Linked DNA regions of Schizosaccharomyces pombe. The protein of the gene in region 2 interacts with the protein of the main gene of each other region in a biochemical or structural test. Each region holds a gene or a part of one and is shown on either strand. Other genes may lie near its edges.

What was found.
Region 1: the proteins of orc3 (region 2) and cdc18 form a complex in vitro, tested with the Schizosaccharomyces pombe proteins (one study listed by BioGRID).
Region 3: the proteins of orc3 (region 2) and orc6 form a complex in vitro, tested with the Schizosaccharomyces pombe proteins (2 studies listed by BioGRID).
Region 4: the proteins of orc3 (region 2) and orc4 form a complex in vitro, tested with the Schizosaccharomyces pombe proteins (3 studies listed by BioGRID).

What each region holds. Positions count from the first base shown.
Region 1 is NC_003423.3:2,215,441-2,219,787, reverse strand, and holds cdc18 (MCM loader), read left to right. Parts: upstream 1-1,803; 5' UTR 1,804-1,914; coding exon 1,915-3,648; 3' UTR 3,649-3,833; downstream 3,834-4,347. Other genes in the region: protein tam10, read left to right, coding at 592-694, 741-795, 853-914, 962-1,248; arc1 (ARP2/3 actin-organizing complex WD repeat subunit Sop2), read right to left, coding at 4,170-4,347. UniProt on the Schizosaccharomyces pombe protein: Part of the checkpoint control that prevents mitosis from occurring until S phase is completed. Plays a key role in coupling S phase to start and mitosis. Acts at the initiation of DNA replication and plays a major role in controlling the onset of S-phase.
Region 2 is NC_003424.3:1,928,259-1,933,248, reverse strand, and holds orc3 (origin recognition complex subunit Orp3), read left to right. Parts: upstream 1-1,945; 5' UTR 1,946-2,084; coding exon 2,085-2,120; exon of another isoform or gene 2,121-2,164; coding exon 2,165-4,201; 3' UTR 4,202-4,478; downstream 4,479-4,990. Other genes in the region: sdd3 (metallopeptidase), read left to right, coding at 1-1,661; SPOM_SPAP14E8.05C (uncharacterized protein), read left to right, coding at 4,926-4,990.
Region 3 is NC_003423.3:2,965,350-2,968,818, forward strand, and holds orc6 (origin recognition complex subunit Orc6), read left to right. Parts: upstream 1-1,903; 5' UTR 1,904-2,005; coding exon 2,006-2,187; exon of another isoform or gene 2,188-2,244; intron 2,245-2,245; coding exon 2,246-2,858; 3' UTR 2,859-2,913; downstream 2,914-3,469. Other genes in the region: iss9 (nuclear export factor), read right to left, coding at 1-277, 346-475, 526-1,173; protein ess1, read right to left, coding at 2,973-3,446. UniProt on the Schizosaccharomyces pombe protein: Component of the origin recognition complex (ORC) that binds origins of replication. It has a role in both chromosomal replication and mating type transcriptional silencing.
Region 4 is NC_003423.3:2,023,375-2,029,212, reverse strand, and holds orc4 (origin recognition complex subunit Orc4), read right to left. Parts: upstream 3,826-5,838; 5' UTR 3,671-3,825; coding exon 752-3,670; 3' UTR 537-751; downstream 1-536. Other genes in the region: FRG1 family mRNA-processing protein, read right to left, coding at 4,324-4,444, 4,516-4,974, 5,035-5,154, 5,227-5,264. UniProt on the Schizosaccharomyces pombe protein: Component of the origin recognition complex (ORC) that binds origins of replication. It has a role in both chromosomal replication and mating type transcriptional silencing.

The DNA.
Region 1 (4,347 bases), on a different chromosome or scaffold from region 2:
TACCGCTAAAGACAAAACTGTTAATCTTTTAAGGAAAACTCTAAATAGACCCTTACTTCATGAAGTTGACTATCACGGAAAAAGTCTTGAAATTCTTGATATGTTGTTGCAGAGCAGAAACAGTATGATATCTTCTTTGCGATCCGAACTACAGGAAAAGAATCAAAAAGATAAAAAAAAAGAAGTAAATAAATTAGAAGAGAAAATGACTAATGCTAAAGAACCTAATGTGAATGTCCCTTCTATGAAAGCGTCATCAGCTATTTCCGTTGAGACGCCTGAGACAATTGAATCAGAAGCTTCAGTGGACCACAAGGAAGCATCAAAGATCATAAAAGATGTAGAAAAAGAAGAATAATTGATTGCCAACCGATCTATCTAGATGTTTTCCAAAAACGGAACAGATTTTTGGTACTCAATAGATGGCTATATGCAGCTTAACTATAATGTTTAGAAATGTATTCAGATCCATAAACTTTTTTACGAAAAAAGATAAAACTCCGAGCTGTCTAAGGGTATTGCTTATTTGGCTCATTTGTTTACGATTTTATCTCTATTGGAATTCCACCAACGCCACGGTCTAAAAAAAAAATGGGAAGCTCCAAATCCTCAAAGAAGGATAAGCAAATCCATCCTTTTGGAACAGATGTTTCTACTTTTCGAAAGCTTTCATCAAAGGAAAAAAAAAAACTCGGTATGTTGGGCAAGTTTCTTTAAATTTCATTAACATGAGTGTTCAGATGAAAAAGAGTTAAAACAATACAAAAAGCTAAAGCATAAAGTTAAAAAGCTTAAGTATGTTTTTTAATGCTTTTTATTAAATCACTACTTCCCACTCTAACATAGTATCAGGAAAGAGGAAAGGGAAAGATCGAGTATAAAAAACACCAAAACTCTAGCGGAGGATCCTATGGGTATGTATATTAAGCATTAACAGTAAATGCTCGTTAACACTGAAAAGTAAAAAACGTAGCTGAAAATGATCATGATCAAATGAAAAACTCGTTAAGTAGGAGTCAGGATAAGGGAAACACTGACTACTGGCTTGCAGCGAGTTTGTCTGGTGGAAATCAACGAAAATCAAAATTTTTAAAAATGTTGGGTATAAAAAATGCTGCATCCATCACTGAATCGTCTCCGTCTGCTCAATCTAATAAAACAAATGACAAGCAGAGAGAGAAAGAACTAGAACAACAATATATGCACGGTGTTTTACACAAAGGAACAAAAAAGGGATTGGGCATGTAATTTGGGGTTTATGTTTAGTTTATTCTTTTGGATAATTACCAAAATTCTCATCTTCCTTTTGTTAAACTAGCTTAAAGTGTTCACTTGCATTCTAAACTAGAGGAAACTTTGCTATGAAATTCAATTTTAGTGAACATTGTAAGAGGTTTACTTTTCTTTAATCGAAATGCTGTTTGCTTTATTGGCCATTAGCACCAAAGATGGTATGGTCCATCAAAAATTCGTTCGTGGGACCTCTGTTATCTTTAGGGATAATTGAAAAAAGATTTTCTAATTTATTAAAAGAATTTAGGGTCTTTTACTTTAATTTTACTAACGTCGTAACTAAATTGGAATATGAGAAGGCATTTCATATCTTTGAGGATGAGTCGTTATAAAATAATATCATTACCTGAATATAAACTTATAGAGTAAAAAGGTTCGCGCGTAGAACGCGACACGACACGTAGAGTTGAACGCGACATCTCATTTACTCTTCGTGATTAATTAGATTTCGCGTTTACGTGTCGCGTCGCGTATATTTATAAAAGACATATCTGCTCTTAAACAAAACTTAAACACCAAGCACGAAGTTAATATTACTTAGTAGCCCTTTTATCAAATTTACCTGACTTGTCTATTGGTAAATAACATAATTAGTAAACGGGGTTACTATAAAGTATCGATATGTGTGAAACTCCAATAGGTTGTCATACACCTCGAAGATGCAATCGTTTTATAGATTCTGCAGCCTTGATTGACTGTACTAACAAAACTAATCAAAGGGAGCATTCACCTTCCTTTTCAATAGAGATTCCGACTACACCCAGCAGAAAACGTACGCTGGCTAGCTCACATTTCCAAACACCCACAAAAAGAATAAAATATGAACTAGGAGAACTGCAAGAGGAGAAAACTGACCTTTATCCTAATTTTCCTGCTCAGTTAAAGGAGAATAAGAAACCTAAATTACCCACAACACCTCAAACTCCTAAAACCCCCAAAAGGACCATTCAAATTGTTACACCCAAATCATTAAATCGTACATGTAATCCTGTTCCATTTGCTACTCGCCTTTTGCAATCGACACCTCACCGTCAACTTTTTCCTCCCACTCCTTCGACACCCTCCACTCCGTCCTATAATTCTACTGCCAAATTGAGTTTACGTAAATCATATCGTTCAGCAGGAGTCGTGGGTCGTGAAAATGAGAAGTCAATTGTGGAATCTTTCTTTCGTCAACATCTTGATGCTAATGCTGGAGGTGCATTGTACGTAAGTGGTGCCCCTGGCACAGGAAAGACCGTTCTGCTTCACAACGTGCTGGATCATGTAGTGAGCGATTATCCCAAAGTTAATGTTTGTTACATTAATTGTATGACTATTAATGAACCAAAAGCAATTTTTGAAAAAATTCACTCTAAAATTGTTAAAGAGGAAATTTTAGAAAATGAAGATCATCACATCAATTTCCAATGTGAACTAGAGTCGCATTTCACCCAGTCCGCCAATGAATTATATAACCCAGTCATTATTGTTTTAGATGAAATGGATCACTTGATTGCTCGCGAACAGCAGGTTCTGTACACGCTTTTTGAATGGCCCTCTCGACCGACTTCGAGATTAATTTTGGTAGGCATTGCAAATGCCTTAGACATGACAGATCGATTTCTCCCTCGTTTACGAACAAAGCATATTACTCCCAAATTACTCTCTTTTACGCCTTATACTGCTCAAGAAATCTCAACAATTATAAAAGCGCGTTTGAAAACCGCCGCTACCACATCAGAAAAAAACAATCCTTTTACTCCTATTAAATCAATCTCTGAAGTAAGCGATGATAGTATAAATGTTGTATCTCAGCATGCTGATGAAACACCTTTTATACATCCTGCTGCAATTGAATTATGTGCCCGGAAAGTTGCAGCTTCAAGTGGTGACTTGAGAAAAGCATTAGACATATGTAGGCATGCAATTGAACTTGCGGAAAGAGAATGGAAAGCTCAACATGACAACACATTATCTTCTGTTGATATACCAAGAGCATCAATTGCTCATGTTGTCCGAGCGACATCTGCTATGAGCCAATCTGCTAGTGCTCGTTTAAAAAACCTTGGTCTTCAACAGAAAGCCATCCTTTGTACGCTTGTTGTTTGTGAAAAAACCTCATTGAGTGTTGCCGATGTATTTGAAAAATACAGTTCTTTGTGTCTTCGAGATCGTTTGATTTATCCATTAACAAGTTCGGAATTTTGCGATGTCGCGAATTCTTTAGAAACTCTTGCAATCATTCGTTTGCGCACGAAGCAGCGTAACGGAAAGCCTCAGGACCGAATCATTAGTTTGCTTGTTCCAGAAATGGATGTCATTACAGCTGTTGGAGACATTGGTACCTTAAAACGATTTTTTGACAGAAGATAGTACTATCATTTCTTTCTCATTCTTTTTTTCTATTCATTATATTTTTATTTCACGCGTTACGGTTTTCAAATTTTGCCGAAAGGATCAAATTAGAACATCCTTTCAATTTCGTTGTTTGGATTACATAAATTTGAACAATATTATTTATCCAACTTGGTGTTTAAACTTTTCAGGTTGATCTTTACTAATTTTACTAACTATACAATTAATAAACACTTTAATCTAAGTTATATCTAATGATTATTCGTAAGAACGCATACCCGTGGTTCAGTCTCAAGTGGTGGTATAAGTAAACTTACGTAGCAAAAGCACTTCTCAATTTTGGGGTCTCTAAGAAAAAATATATACACAAAACTGAATATGATTGACAAAAATTTATAAGACGACATAGTAATCATATAAGCTGCGGAATAACAGTTACTATATCTAGCTAAAGCTTGTTCAATTCTTTTATTCTATGAGATTAACATCTACGGAAATTCGATAATTGATTTGATAAGATTCATTTGCCGATATCTTTTCTAAAGAGTCCACAAAACAACACGTCCGTCGGTACCGCTGGAGGTAAACGCAGTAATATTGCCAGGAGTCCCAGCGTAAGGTCGAAGGGTTGCAATCATATTTTGATGAACGGTTGGTAAAGACGAAATAGACTGGCTGGAGCCCTTCAAATCCATGTTACGGAATGTGCTACGAAGA
Region 2 (4,990 bases):
TGGAAAAATTAGCCGAAAAACTGAAGAAATCAAAAGAAAAGAATGAACAAAAGCTTTCTGTTAACTTAATTTCAAGCTTCAGGATAAGTGATCCAGAGAGTATTCGGTTTTACTCATCTACGACTGCTAGGACTCGTTCCGCAGGTCAACCTTTTGACAATGAAGTCCAAACTTATATAGACACTGATGTTTCTTCAGAAAACCCTTTCATCCAGTTCGATCATATTGATAGTTCCTTTGTCCAACTTGCAACGTATATCGACACCTCTATGATTCCTTCAAGTTTGAAACCATATCTTTCTGTATTTGCTAAATATATAGAAGCTGCTCCGGCCTTGCTCTCAGGTACCATACCTACACCCTATCACGAAGTCGTCAAGCAACTTGAGCGTGACACTGTATCACTCAATGTTTCGCTTAGTTTTGACACATCATCTTGTGGTTACGCTTATTATGAAACTAAACGTGAACTGCTTTCTATAGAAATAAAGGTCACTCGTGAAAATTACGAAAAAGGAGTTTATTGGATACGAAATTTATTAGCCAAAACGGTATGGGATAGAGAAAGAATGTTATCAGTAATAAATCAGCAACTGGCCGACATTCCTTTTCAAAAACGTGACGCAGAATTTATATTACCATCATATTTCGATATCCGTCTATACAATGATTGCTCATTGAAGTACAGCCTAAATACCTTAAGTCAAGAGAAAATTCTTCGCGAATTACGGGATAAGTTACAGAATGATCATTCATCAATTTTTGATGCCTTTCAAAAAATGAGAAATTACATGTTACAGCATCAAGCCATTCGTATTCATGTAATTGGTGACATTTTAAAATTACCTCAGCCAATAAGTACATGGAATAAGTTACTTGATAGCGAATGCCACCGGAATCCAAATATGGAGTTTCTTTCGACTTTCTCTAAGAACTATTTAAAGCCTCAAGAATTTGGAAGTAGCAGTTCCCTTACCGTTATTCCGATGCCGTCAAACGAGAGTAGTGATTTGGTATTTTCTATTCCAGGTATTACCAGCTGGCTTGATCCGTCACTTCCAGTTATCGTCTTGATTGCAAATTATCTAGGGTTGATGGATGGCCCTTTTTGGAATACCATTCGTGGTTCTGGCCTTGCTTACGGATTTAATATGTCAATTGATGTGGATGGTGGTGTGCTTTATTATTGTATTAACACCTCCCCTGATGTCTATAAAGCATGGGCTTCAAGTCGCGATCTTGTAAAATCGCTAATATCTGGTGAGGTGCAAGTTAGTAGTTTTGATTTGGAATCTGCCAAATGTGTATCTTATAGCATAGTATCGGAGCTTGAAAACAACGCAATTTACTCATCAAAAAACTCGTTTACTTTGTTATCTATCAAAGGTCTAAACAAAGATGAAGATCATAAATTTTTAGAAAAAGTAAAGCAGGTCACATTACAACAATTTTTAGAGGGTTTAAAAATTTATTGTTTACCGTTCTTCTCATCCAGCAATAACTTAGCTGTTATCACTTCTTCCTTAGCTAAGATCGAACAAACTGTTGAACAGTTCACAGAGGAAGGCTTCAATGTGAATGTTGAAAGTCTGCATGAAATTCAAGGAATTGAATCAGAATCCGAAGATGACTTATCGGTAGGAGGAAATGATGACAATTAATGAGGCGTGAACTCAACCAAAATTTTTATTTTATTTAAAAAATGATATTTTATAAAATTCCTTAAACTTTGACTCATGATTAATGAAAATAAAAAAAAGACTTATACCAACAAATCAAATAATTCTTCGATGTATGAAAATATATGTGTATATTCGTATTCTTTTTTAGTCCTACAAACGTCTGTCGACTCATTCTATTAACTCGAAGCATCAAAACAAACTAGCAAAGTGCTTTCTGCACTTACTACGCTTTCTAAGGTACCCATTTTCAGAACGGTGCTCTTGTGACAACCACTTGTTAATGATTCAAATTAAGACCTAATTAAATGAAATAATGCTAATAATTTGTGACACGCAAACAGAGTAAACTCAAATACTAAATTTGCTAGTCATCTGGCTTTTTCTCTACAATATCAAATTAATATGTCAGCAATACTACAATATGATTCAGTCAGTAAAGTAAGTGGAATTTTTTCAGTATTTTATCTAACTAAATTGTTTAGGGAACTTATTCAGTGAAACCCAAGCCAACAGAGAGCCTGGGAAATGAGTTTAGTGAAGGCCTTTTTGTTCCTTTGATAGGAGGTAAAGAACCTATAGAATACGTAAAATTAAGAGAAAATCTCTGTACGAAAGTGTTAAATGAGTTAGAAGAAATTACAACTCACACTACATATGATAGTAACGCCAGAGTTTTGAGACAATTGTGTGAACATGCATCAGAGCCAGTAGATGAAACTGGGTTACTTCGAACTGCAATCGTTTGTGATAAGAGTAGCAACTCGATGCACCTAAAGTTTTACGAGCAACTTAAAGACGATATGGAAAAAATTGGGTGGAAAAACTTTGTTGTGTTAAATCTGAAAGCTCATCGTGATTTGAAATCATGTTTTCGAGTAATAAAAGGTGGATCATTTGGACTAGGTGTCCTTTCGTATGACATTGAAAAACTTGATGAAAAGACCGTGTTGGTATTGGAAGATGTAGAAGATTGTGATCGGCGTCTTTTATCTTCTCTTGTGGAAGCACTTAGCTCACTCGTCCGACATTCAAAGTTACAAGGATGCTTATACACAATTTTTAATTTAAAAATACCGCTTGAAATGTTTGATACATCCCTCGATTCAAAATTCCTTAGCAATGTTAAAACCAAGGTTTTTAACATGAAGGCAAGCACGGAAATTCTTGAAAGCCTCTTTACCTCGATTGAGGAGAGTTTGAGTTTAAAATTTGGCTGGCGGACTCGGAGATTTTTTCGCTCGATGTTTTACGAGCGTTCATGGAGTGTTGAGAGAGTTATTGAATGCATTCGCTATAGTATTCTAACTCACTTTTATGGAAACGCTTTGAGTATTATAGAGCATTTGATATATCAAAAAGACTTTCATTTAATATCCCCTCTTCATTTAACCACTCTAAGAACAGTTCCTAGTTTTCAGCGGCACATTGAACAGCGTCTGGAAATTGGAGATTTGGAAAGCATTAACTATGTCGAGAAAATGTTGAATGATGATACCTACTTTCAAGAGATGGTCATTCAAATGTGCGAGAATTTATTATATCGGGAGCGTTTACTGCGCACCCAAGCTAAAATTTGGCACGAATTAGAAATGGCTGTGAAAACAACGACTAGAATTTCATTTGCTGATTATTTAGAGACATTTTTGCAAGGGGACTGGCTATCAAGTCCTCAGTACAAAAGTATATGTCAGGCAATTTTAAGAATGAATTCTACCAAAGCCTTGGCTTGTCTGGATTATTTAAATGAAAACATATTTACTGGAAATCAAACTATGAAGTGCTTAGAAATTCACCAGGAGCTTTCTGAACTCATTCGCAACTCTTCAACTAATTACTTAGAGCCCGTCGAGGTTCGAATGCAAAACTATAGTGGAACAAAGCATACAAGAAAAGTTGTTGAATCTGGCTTTGATAAAAGCATAATTGACTTTTCTAAAATTTTGAAGAAAATTGTAGGATTATTGGACGAAGAAGTTCAATATGGATGCTTGGGTACTGAATCTATTGATATGTATCCCTTTTACGAAGTGCTATTTTATGATTACTGTCGACCGTTGAATCAAGCATTTGCTTCAGGACATCAAAGAAGTGTGATTCATAGTTCGTGCATGGATCCAGAGTATTATGTAGGAGATGAAAAGAAAATTGACAGCGAGTTTTCTAACGCTGAAAAAGATGGAAAAGATTTGATATCCTGGCTTCCAGATTTATCTATCCTTTATAAGTTATATAGTGAATCTGGTGCATTGCTTAATTTGTACGATTGGTACATAGCATTTTCAGAGCATCTGCAAGCTGGAAAAGAAAACTTGAAAGAGGATGATAACCATCCACGAGAATCACCTCAGGGGAATCTGCAAAGAGAATTGAATGAACTAGATGAGGATAAAAGAAAACTCGAAGAAGCAAAGCTACAATCTCGATTTTTGTTTGGTTTAGAAGAATTGAGGTTTTTAGGGCTTATCAAACCTACCGCTCGCAAAACTGATCATGTCATGAAAACTATTTATCATCAGTAAGGTGCGAAATATAAATTGTGTATAACCTTGCTACTTAAAAATGCTAGCAACTCACTTTTTTCTCTGTATTCAAGTCTTTTAGGTTCTCCCAAGAAGCCTACTTTTTGTAAACAATTAAATGTATATCTCATTTTGAGCACTTTGTCTTTTGATTAAATTGAAAATATGTTCTTTCTCTGTTGGCTACCTATACCGATAGAAACAATAGCACGCTCGAAAATTGGAATCTGATAATCTGTCAGATTTCGGTGCTTATCATATTTATTACAAATATTCTATTCTAGCTAAGAAGTCGTCAGATCAAAGATAATTTGTTGTGTTCCATATTGCTCGTAGACCAGCCTATAAACCATTAATCGTAGTATTGTGATATATAAACTGGCGGTTAGCAACTTCGGATTCAGTATTTCGCAAATAATTCGCATTATAAAGAAAAAGATCAACTCATAAAAACTTACTTTATTTTGTTTTTTTATCCCACACCTGTATTGTTCTTCTATAACGATACATAATGAATTACATAATATAAATTTTGGGAATTTGTCTCAATGGCAATGATATTTATTTTAGCCCCAGATTTATTGCTACTTATATTGTGACGTTTCTCACGAATGAACGAACATGGATAGCGCCCTAAGTTACACTGTTGAGTATGTGCGCATACGAAGTCTGTTTTCGACTACAAACAAGCTGCTAGACACCTTCAAATTTTCAAAAGTATACAATGACACCTGATCAAAACGCTTTAGTTTTAAGTTTTCTCTTGACCGTAGGTGGTCTAATAGGATA
Region 3 (3,469 bases), on a different chromosome or scaffold from region 2:
ACACAATCTTCCATTTCTTCAAATGCTAGTGTGTTAGCCAAAAATTCCATTGTAAGAGAAGGGCGATATGCTTTGCACATCATTATCATCGCCTGCACTCGTTCTCTCTCAATAAAAAGATCCATCAAATAACCTCCCATGTTGGGAGCGACTAAATATAGATGGAAAAATTTATAGTAATCGCCAGTAGCCATCGCCGAACGGACTTCTAATGCATGTGTAACAGCAGCGTTTGTTTTGTCTTCTTCTTTTAGATTGGCGAGAAGGCTATTCATTTCTATAAATTGTTAATAATTTGAATTCAAAAGATATATTCTTTTAAGCAGTAAGCCGTAATTAACTTACCAGATCGATTTTTAGTGAAGAGCATATACAGAATACGATATGCTAAAAATTCCTTAGTATTCCCTGGTATACCAAAACTGTAAAGATGAAATAATTGAGTTTGACATTGGTTATACTCGCCAACATCACCCTAGTCGAACGTTAGAAGAAGAAATGATATTTTAAAGTAATTAACCGTACCTTTTCAAGAGCTATACGAGCATGTATTTCGTAAACTAATACAGAAAACTCATTTTGAATCCTTTGCACAGTTAAATCCTGTCTTAAACTTTTAAATTGATCGCATATATATGCATAGTTTTTCTCTTCTTTCCATTTCTTCTTTAAAAGTTCGAGAGTTTGCTTAAGAACTGGAAGGGGTCGAACAGTATCCGGATCAGGAGCCGAAGTTAATCGCAAATACCTTTTCTCTAATTCTGTGGACCGTCCTATAATAGCACCATTCTCCGGGTTGACTTTTAGCTCTTCAGATTTAGCGTTATTTTGAGAACGAGAACCATTTTCAAACCTTCTTCTTCTTTTTTCTTTCTTATCCACTTCATCTTCTTCACTTAAAAGTGAAAATTGATTTCCAGAAACAGGCTTCTCAACCTTTCTTTTTTTATCTTCGATGATTGTATTTTGAGCATTTGTCAGTTTCCTTAGGGATTCTAAATTCATAGAAGACCAATCAACATTCCATATGTTTCCCATTTCGTATTGACGAGAAATTAGCAATTTTACTTCATCCTCTAATTCTGGCTGGCTGTTTTCCTCAGCGTCTTGGATGCATCTACCAATAAATTCTTTCAAAGAGTCCGGCCAAGGGCTATGATGTTCTTTTTTCATATTTAATATTTTTCATTGAGCTATATGATTAATGCTAAAGTTAAGTACTTTTCTCAACTTCCTCAATTGCTAAAGTGGTGAGTACCGAGATTGTATGAGAAGTGCGAGTCCGTCAGCTTAACCCTGTCAGTAACGTTGTAAGTCGATTTCATTATCCAACCTTTCAATCAATAAGGATTAATTTATTACTATTCAGTTGATCGTTCATCATTTTTTCCTTTAAAAATTTAAAAAGTCATCAAATAATTCAACGGTTCCACCTAAACTTGTTTGTTCGCTTAAAATTTATGAAACCAACATGGAAAGTAGTTAATATTAACTCACGCTATTCACGCATATTTTATTCTGTATGCCTCATATAGCCTTGATTAAACTACTAAAAGAGAGTAATATACCGAATTATCAAGCCTAAAACACTACCTCCCAATAAAGCAATCGTAATTCATTATTAAATAAAAAAAAATTTGAAGACTGCTTCGAAAGTTTTGTAGTAATATCTTGAAGAATGTAGGTCTAAATTCTAAGCTTTTGGTGACATTATTTAAGATAACTAGCAACCGGAATGATTAAGCAAGAGTCATATTAAATAAGTACGGAATATAAACACCAAATTCAGTGGTGCATCAAGTAGATAGATTTTATATTTTTGAAACAGCTGGTAGTATTAGCAGCATTAAAAACATCGTTTAAATGTCTCTGTATTAAACACCATATTGACATAAAACAAACTAAGCGTTCACCACTATTATGATATTATGAATGATTACATGATTTCAATAATTAATAATCAAAATTAAATGATAAAAGTTTTATTAAATATATTCATTTTCTCATGGAGCGACAACAGATTATAGAGTCTTTACGCAGAATAATTCCCACTGAAAGTACAGAATATAATGAACGGCTTATTAGTTTAGGAGAGTCATTTTTGGAATGGTCCAAATATAAACATAATCTAAAGGCGACAGAAGAGTTATGCCGTCCTTATATGGCAGCGCACTTAGCTTGTGAACTGTAAGTAACTTCTGATGTTTAATTACTCTACTTGAACTTGTTCTGACTCTTTAAAAAGATTATCCAATGATTTAAATTTGGAAATAAATTTACTAGCGACTCCAATTCCAAAAAAGAAATACTATAAACTTTTCACTTACTTTCAAGAAATCTTATCTCCATTAACTAAATCCTTAGCAGCTAAAGATGATCTGATGGAAACCATTACTTATCTTTGTACCAAACTAGGGGGCTCAACTGCTATACCTTATGTTAAACAATTGGTGAAAGCCGTTGTTACAAACGACATGCGCATCGAACACAAAAGAGGCATCATAATCGCAGCTTATTTACTAGTATCGGCAAAAGCTTTTGGAAAAGACGAACTTCATATAAATCACACCGAGAGAAGAAAGGCACAGAGTGTTTTACAGGATACAAGTTCTGCATTGCAAATTCAGTATTGGATGCATGTCCTCTCAGAAAGTTGGCAGTATAAAGAAATCCCTTTAAATGGTATAGAGGGTTATGAATCTCAAAAGCAACGGATAAAACCTTGGAGTGGGATAGCAAGCATGATTCAAATAGATTACGAAAAACGACTTCAAAATTATCCAATATGGAAGGCCTGCATTGAAGAAAGAATCCAATATTACAAAAGCCAGCTTGAAAAAGATGGTACTGCTTCATGAATACAATTTACTATATTAATTTTTTTTTGTACATTAAACAACATTTATAAACGGGTACACGATATCTTTAGTGATATATACAAATACATGAGTAAAAAAAAGTTAAATTAGACTCTAAGCTTTACTAATAGACCACTCCAAATTTGTAATAGACACTTCTGAAGAGGCATTTTCATCATAGTCATACCAATCATCCTCTAATACTATTTCGTCAAAAAGTGTATTACTTTCAGCACCATTAGCTATCCATTCTCCCTGAGGAATGAATTCGACTAGTTCACATCCTCTGCATTCCAATACGAGAACTTTTTTCGTCTCTTGAGAATCATTGTAAGGAGAGAATGGCCCCTCTATAACGAAAGAGCAAGTTTTGCGACAATTTTTGCACGTCCATATGAGATTAGCCTCGCCCTTGCTGCCAGGTATGCTGTGAGTCTCGCTGCGGGAGATTTCAATGGCATTGTCGTGAATCTCTCGACAACCACTACATTGGACTTTAAAAGCATAATAGAAGGATTCTTCATCCTTGGGAGCTAAATTTTTCACACCAGTCAACTCAGCGTTTAAGTTAAGAGCAAATTTTCCCATATTGCGAAAGAAACTCTAGGAAT
Region 4 (5,838 bases), on a different chromosome or scaffold from region 2:
CAATGTTTTATAAAGGTGACGGTTATCTCAGCTTCAATTCAAAATTGTTTCAATACTGTACGGTGCCTACAACGAGTGCAGGCTGTTTTTTCCTGCTTTCGTTAAGGCTAGTGTTTCGTTTAAAAGATAAATTGGTTAAATTCATATTCAATTAGCAGTTTATTGAATATTAGTTTGTTTTTGATTTTATAATGAGAATCTTGTTATTGTGATGCTTTTTTTAAACTTTTATGACATATCTTTAAGTTAGTTAAACTGCGTGAATTCCTTATGTGCTATCACTTTTTTTTGGGCTTAAAAGTACCACTGATGAGTCCTTTCGTTTAATCTAATTTATTTTGTTTTTCTTACCACCTTTCATGAAATATTCCGCCAAAATTTTTTTTCTACATTAGTACAAAGTGACCCTGAAACAAAAACTATCATTAAAATGTTTAGGTATTCATTGATCCGTTGATTACTGATTTACCTTCATAAGTCATCTAATATAAATATTTGGAGACCAGCTTCTTTCACAGCTTAACCAGCGCTGATAGCAAAAAAGTAAATTCTATTTTCGTTTATCAGAAGCAAATATTTAATCAATTAAAATTAAAACTTTTATTTATCAAATATCGGTAATAACTACAATGTGTAATGGTATATAACCTTCAACACGGTCGTCCTTATTTTTGCCTTTCTTATATTGTTTTATTTAAAAAGGATACAAAGTTAATAAAATACAACAGAAACAAAAAAAATTGCAATTCTTTTATATAACCTCCTTAAGCCAGCGGTAATAATGCGATGGCAAACGTCGATGTTCACGCAAACCTACAGAAACTACATTGATATCCACTTCTGGCTGCCATAGTTGGCATTGTCTAGAAAGGGCACCACTAACATTAGTAGAAGGGTGAACCGGTATAATCAATCCTATAGACCCTAAAGTTTCCCATGCTTCCAAAGCAACATCCCTTCCCCATAATCGACTGCTATGAGCTAGAGCTCCCGATGCTGCGGCATTTATAACGGAAGATTGATGCAGTTGTCGATATTCTTGATAAGCACTATTAAAGTTGCAAGCTGGAATATCCCTAGCTTCAAAGCGAACTGCACAAATCAATAAAGCCAACTCCAACAAACTTAAATTCTTTACAAGTTCAACCTTATGGTCAGAAACTTTGAGACTGATATTGGCGAAGTCTTCATCAGCAAGTAATGGACGATCAGGTGCCATGGAAAGTATGGGAAATAATAAATCAACATACAATAATTTTAAATTTCTGCTTGCAAAATAGTGATGTTGTACCAATTTATGTAAGTGACTTCGTGTATCGGAAAGCAATTCATCCACTCTCTGGTTCCAGCATGTTATTATTTGGTCTTTTCCGCCTTCGTCAGAAACATACAAAACAGATTTTAAAATTTGCTCAAATTCACTAAGCGAAGAAGGTGGTCGCATGGGAATTACCATGTGACTAAACCTACTTTTTACTCGCTTTTCAAGTGATTCAGAACAATCATAGCGAGTAGTCAAGCCTATGATCAGTATCGGGGCTTTCCTCGATTGAGCAATGTCAAACAAGTTATACAAGAGCATTTGCCGTGAATGCTGAACAAACAGGTCAAACTCTTCTAAAACAAATATCACGGCTGCAGACGTTGTCATTACGTCTTCTGCAATTCCCAAATCCACGGGATGAGACAATGTAGCTAACAATTTTGTAAGTGTATCAGAAAAGTTCATTTCTGATTTTAATGCTTCATCAGACTCGATAGATTCAAGTTCAATAGATAATTGTCGCGATATTTCACGCAAAGCTAGTTTGTCATCTGTCTGGTACGTACCATTCAATCTTACGACATAACTTTTTTCATTTATTTCCTGAGCTGCGCGTGATAGTATATCATCCACGAGAACTGATTTTCCAGAACCCCGTGGACCGACAATAATGACAGAATTACCTTCGCCAAGTACTATAGTTTGTCGGACCCATTGATAAAGCTTTGTCTGTTCATCCATATGTCCTACAAGAGGGATATGGCTTTTCCCACACAACCTTGCAGCAATCGTAGATTTAATAGTATGTAACTGTGAGTCAATTTCAGAATATGGGACGTCATTAAATACAGACTCAACGACAGGATTAGGATAAAGTTTATGCTGACTCTTTTTAGGAGAAATAATAGCAACTTCGAAATTAGGTTTTTTGGGAGGAGGTGTAAATTGAGATTGTCGAAGAAGGGGTAATCTGTCAGATGAAGGAAGTAGTGGAGAAACTGAATTGGGTGATGAAGATTCGGATTGCGGAGTTGCTGAAGAGGAGTGAACAGAGGAATCGGTTAAACCAGGTGTGATATTACGAATTTCCGCATTCTCTTGACGCTTTTTCGGTGGTCGTCCACGTTTTCTAGGAAGCAACGGAGCTGATTCTCGCTGTTGATTATTAAGGAACTGTTGATTATTAGGAGATGTAATAGCAAAATGTTTAAGTGACAACGCGTCTGAGTCATGAAGCATATCCTCATGTTTTCTAGTAAAGGCGCTTAAAGGTACAATTCCACTAGCTATTTTTGGAGGTCTACCACGCTTTCTTTTAAAAAGGGATTGTGATTTTGAATCTAAAGGCAAGCCACTCGGTCTTTCAAGGCGAGGTCTTCCTCTACCTCGTTTGGGTCTATTTTCATCTATTTTATTTTCAGTACTTGTCCCAAAAAGTATCTTGGGCTTATTTAAAGGAGGTCGTCCACGTTTCCGCTTTACTGGGACGTCTGCAGTAGAAAATAAAGGTTGATCTGTGACTACAACTTCCTTCCGTATTTCAGATTGTGGATTCAATGAATAGAATTCAGAAGAAGATTGTTCATTTTCTGGATTCAACTGTGAATGAGTATGTAGATTTGTACCTGTCGATTCAACCGTTACATTATTCGAAATTGGAGTATTTGCAATCTTCTGTTCAGATCGATGTAAAGGTGGACGCCCGCGCCCTCTTTTCGCAGGTAATACTACCAAAGGAGAAAGCCCATTTTGACTTGAGCTCCCTTCTTCTGGTTTTATTTTTCGAGGTCGTCCACGCCCTCTCTTTGGCTTCAGCTCACTTAAATTGGCATGCCCTTCGGCAAAACCTTCTATGATATTCGGCTCATCTAACCCCATCTGTAGATTATTTTGAGTTGTTCCCTCATCTACAGACGGTTGCACTACTGGGAGAGGATGTAAACGAGGACGTCCTCTACCTCTTTTAGGCTTTAAGGGATCATCTAGTTTTGTGGAAGGAGAAGAACTTTTTATTTTTGGAGGTCTGCCACGCTTCCGTTTGATTATAGGCTCCGATCCTTCGTCAATTGGTTTTGGTGGATATTTTCGAGGTCTTCCACGTCTGCGAGGAGCTTCATTGAGACGCAAAGGTGAAGGTGAAGGCGGAGCTAAAGTCGTAGTTGAAATATTATTATCCTGAAATAAAGTGACAGCGGCAATATCTTGCAATTTTGCTTGAGAGGCAGTTAATCCATTATTTGCATCATCATTCGTAGAATTGGGATACTGCTGATCATCATTACCACTTGATAAATTTTGAACATTTGAGGTCTCATTAGTTATGTTTGTCTGGTATTCATTTTCCTTATTTTCATAGATTGCTTCTGTGTCCAAATTCCCAAGATTTGTGAATGGGGATGAGCTCATATTAAAAACTTGAAGATGCACATCCCTATGGTTTTTATACACTGTAAAAATAATGATCCTCTAAATTTAGCCTTTTTATTAACAAATGCAATTAATTGGTCTCTTTTCTAATTATTTTTTTCAATTTCCTCTTGACTTGACAGATGCAGGGTGTTACTTCGATTCTTGGTAAAGGTGAGCAGTAAGATTGGCGTACAGCCTTAAGGACAGGGCCAGTATAGAAATATATTTTTGAAGCTGAAATAATGACTAGGTAATAGTAGTAATAATCTAAAACTATTTTAATCTTTTTCAAGCGATGCTGATGACTATAATTATTTACTTGTTGCATTTATTTGTAAAACCATACATGTATGAAGGGAATGAATTTCAACAGATTCATTAAATATTCATTTTTTATTAAAAAAAAATAGTTCGTTAAAATTAAGGAATGAAGTAAAACACTTCACTTTTGAAATGAGTAATTACCATAAAGCTTTGTAAATTCATACATAAAAGTAGTGAATAGCTGAAAGGAGTCTCAATAGCTATACAAGGTGCCTAAAATTCAAGAGAAAAAATCAAATCTGTTTTTGCTAGCTTTGGTCCAGCAGGTAATCGTACATTAATCAGTAAGTCAAGATATTAATGGTTTATCAAGAATATCCGAAAAATTAACCATATTTGTCGCTCCTTGAAGATACTCGTAAATCTAGTAATGCTTCATGAAGAACTCCTTCCTTAAACGCTTTTTTGAGGGTCTTTTTTTCATCGGTAGAAAGTTTTCTTCCAGCCCTGTAAAATTACAAAGTTAGAATGACGAAAGTAGAAGGGAAACCCCAATAAAATAGAATAGCATAACTTACATAGATTCTAATTGTCTGGAATGTATGGTTGGGTTGTCAAATAAAGAAGACTTGTTTTTCTTTAGGAAACGAGTTTGTACTCGAATTCTCCATTTGGCTTCAGGAATGACAGTGTCAGAGACACATGCAATGGCCTGATCTTGTTTTTCTCTACTTAATGTTAAATATTTTTTCGTTGATACACTTTTCCAAGCCCAAAATCCTGAGCCCAGATTCTCCGCTATCCATTGTTCCTGTGATCCTACCGCCTCTTGCGTACAATACAAGTCTCCAGACTTACTACATGACATGTATTTACCTAAACAGCTTTTCAATAGTATAGTATTGTTCAGTATGGATAACAAAAACACCTGGCGCGTCAATTCTGGCTCTAGCGAAACTTTGTCGAGGGGAAGAAGAACGCAACTTTCTTTAACTTCTTCAATTCCAAGAGATACACCAGCATCATCGTCTATTTTACTACATAAAGTTGTAAGTAAATTAGAAAAAAAGGTATAAGAATATTGAAGTTAAGCTTACTATATAACCGCTGGACCCTCAAGCTCATTTAGCTCGTTTGCGTCCGTCCAAAAAGGATCGTTTTCAGCTGATTCTAGAGAAGATTGAAGTGATTTTGTGTTCTTTTTTTTCTTCTTTTGACTGATTTCTTGTTAGTGATGAACAATATAATATGAATTACCACATTCGAGCAGTTATTTCATTTTATCTTACATCTTTTTGTCTCCCTTGAAAGTTAATCGCATAGACATTTTACCATCAGTAAATTACCAAGAATTTAAACGATTAAAAATCCTTAAAAATGATAATTGTTAATAATGGATAATGACTAAATATTTATGCGTGGTTTTCGAGGAAAAAGCAAGTAGTGGGAGTAGTGTTAAGGATTTGAACAGACCAGATGCTTCTTCGTGCTGAAATCCAATATGTTCTGAGGAATAGGCAAGGTACTCTTAGCAAAACAAAAGAGGTTCAAACGTTTTTAATAAGCAAGGAAATGCTTTATATGAATAGAAATGTTCTGTTGCTCACAATGTGACTTTTGTGACCCATGCTAATGTTGGTTTGTAAAATGGATGATTTGCATAACATTCTAATGGCTTGAGAAAGAAAAAAAATGTGCTTAATTGAATGATAATTTTGAATATAGATGAGAGAAGAAGTATGCACCGAAGACTAGCATTGTTCAATACCAAAAACATTCGTTGAAGGACGAGTCATATTCCAAAAAAGGAAGTCCATTGATGACAATAAGAATTTTTTTTTGCTTATTCAGTTGAAAGCTTACAAAAGATGAGCACTGTTTCAATTTACTTATTACTATGT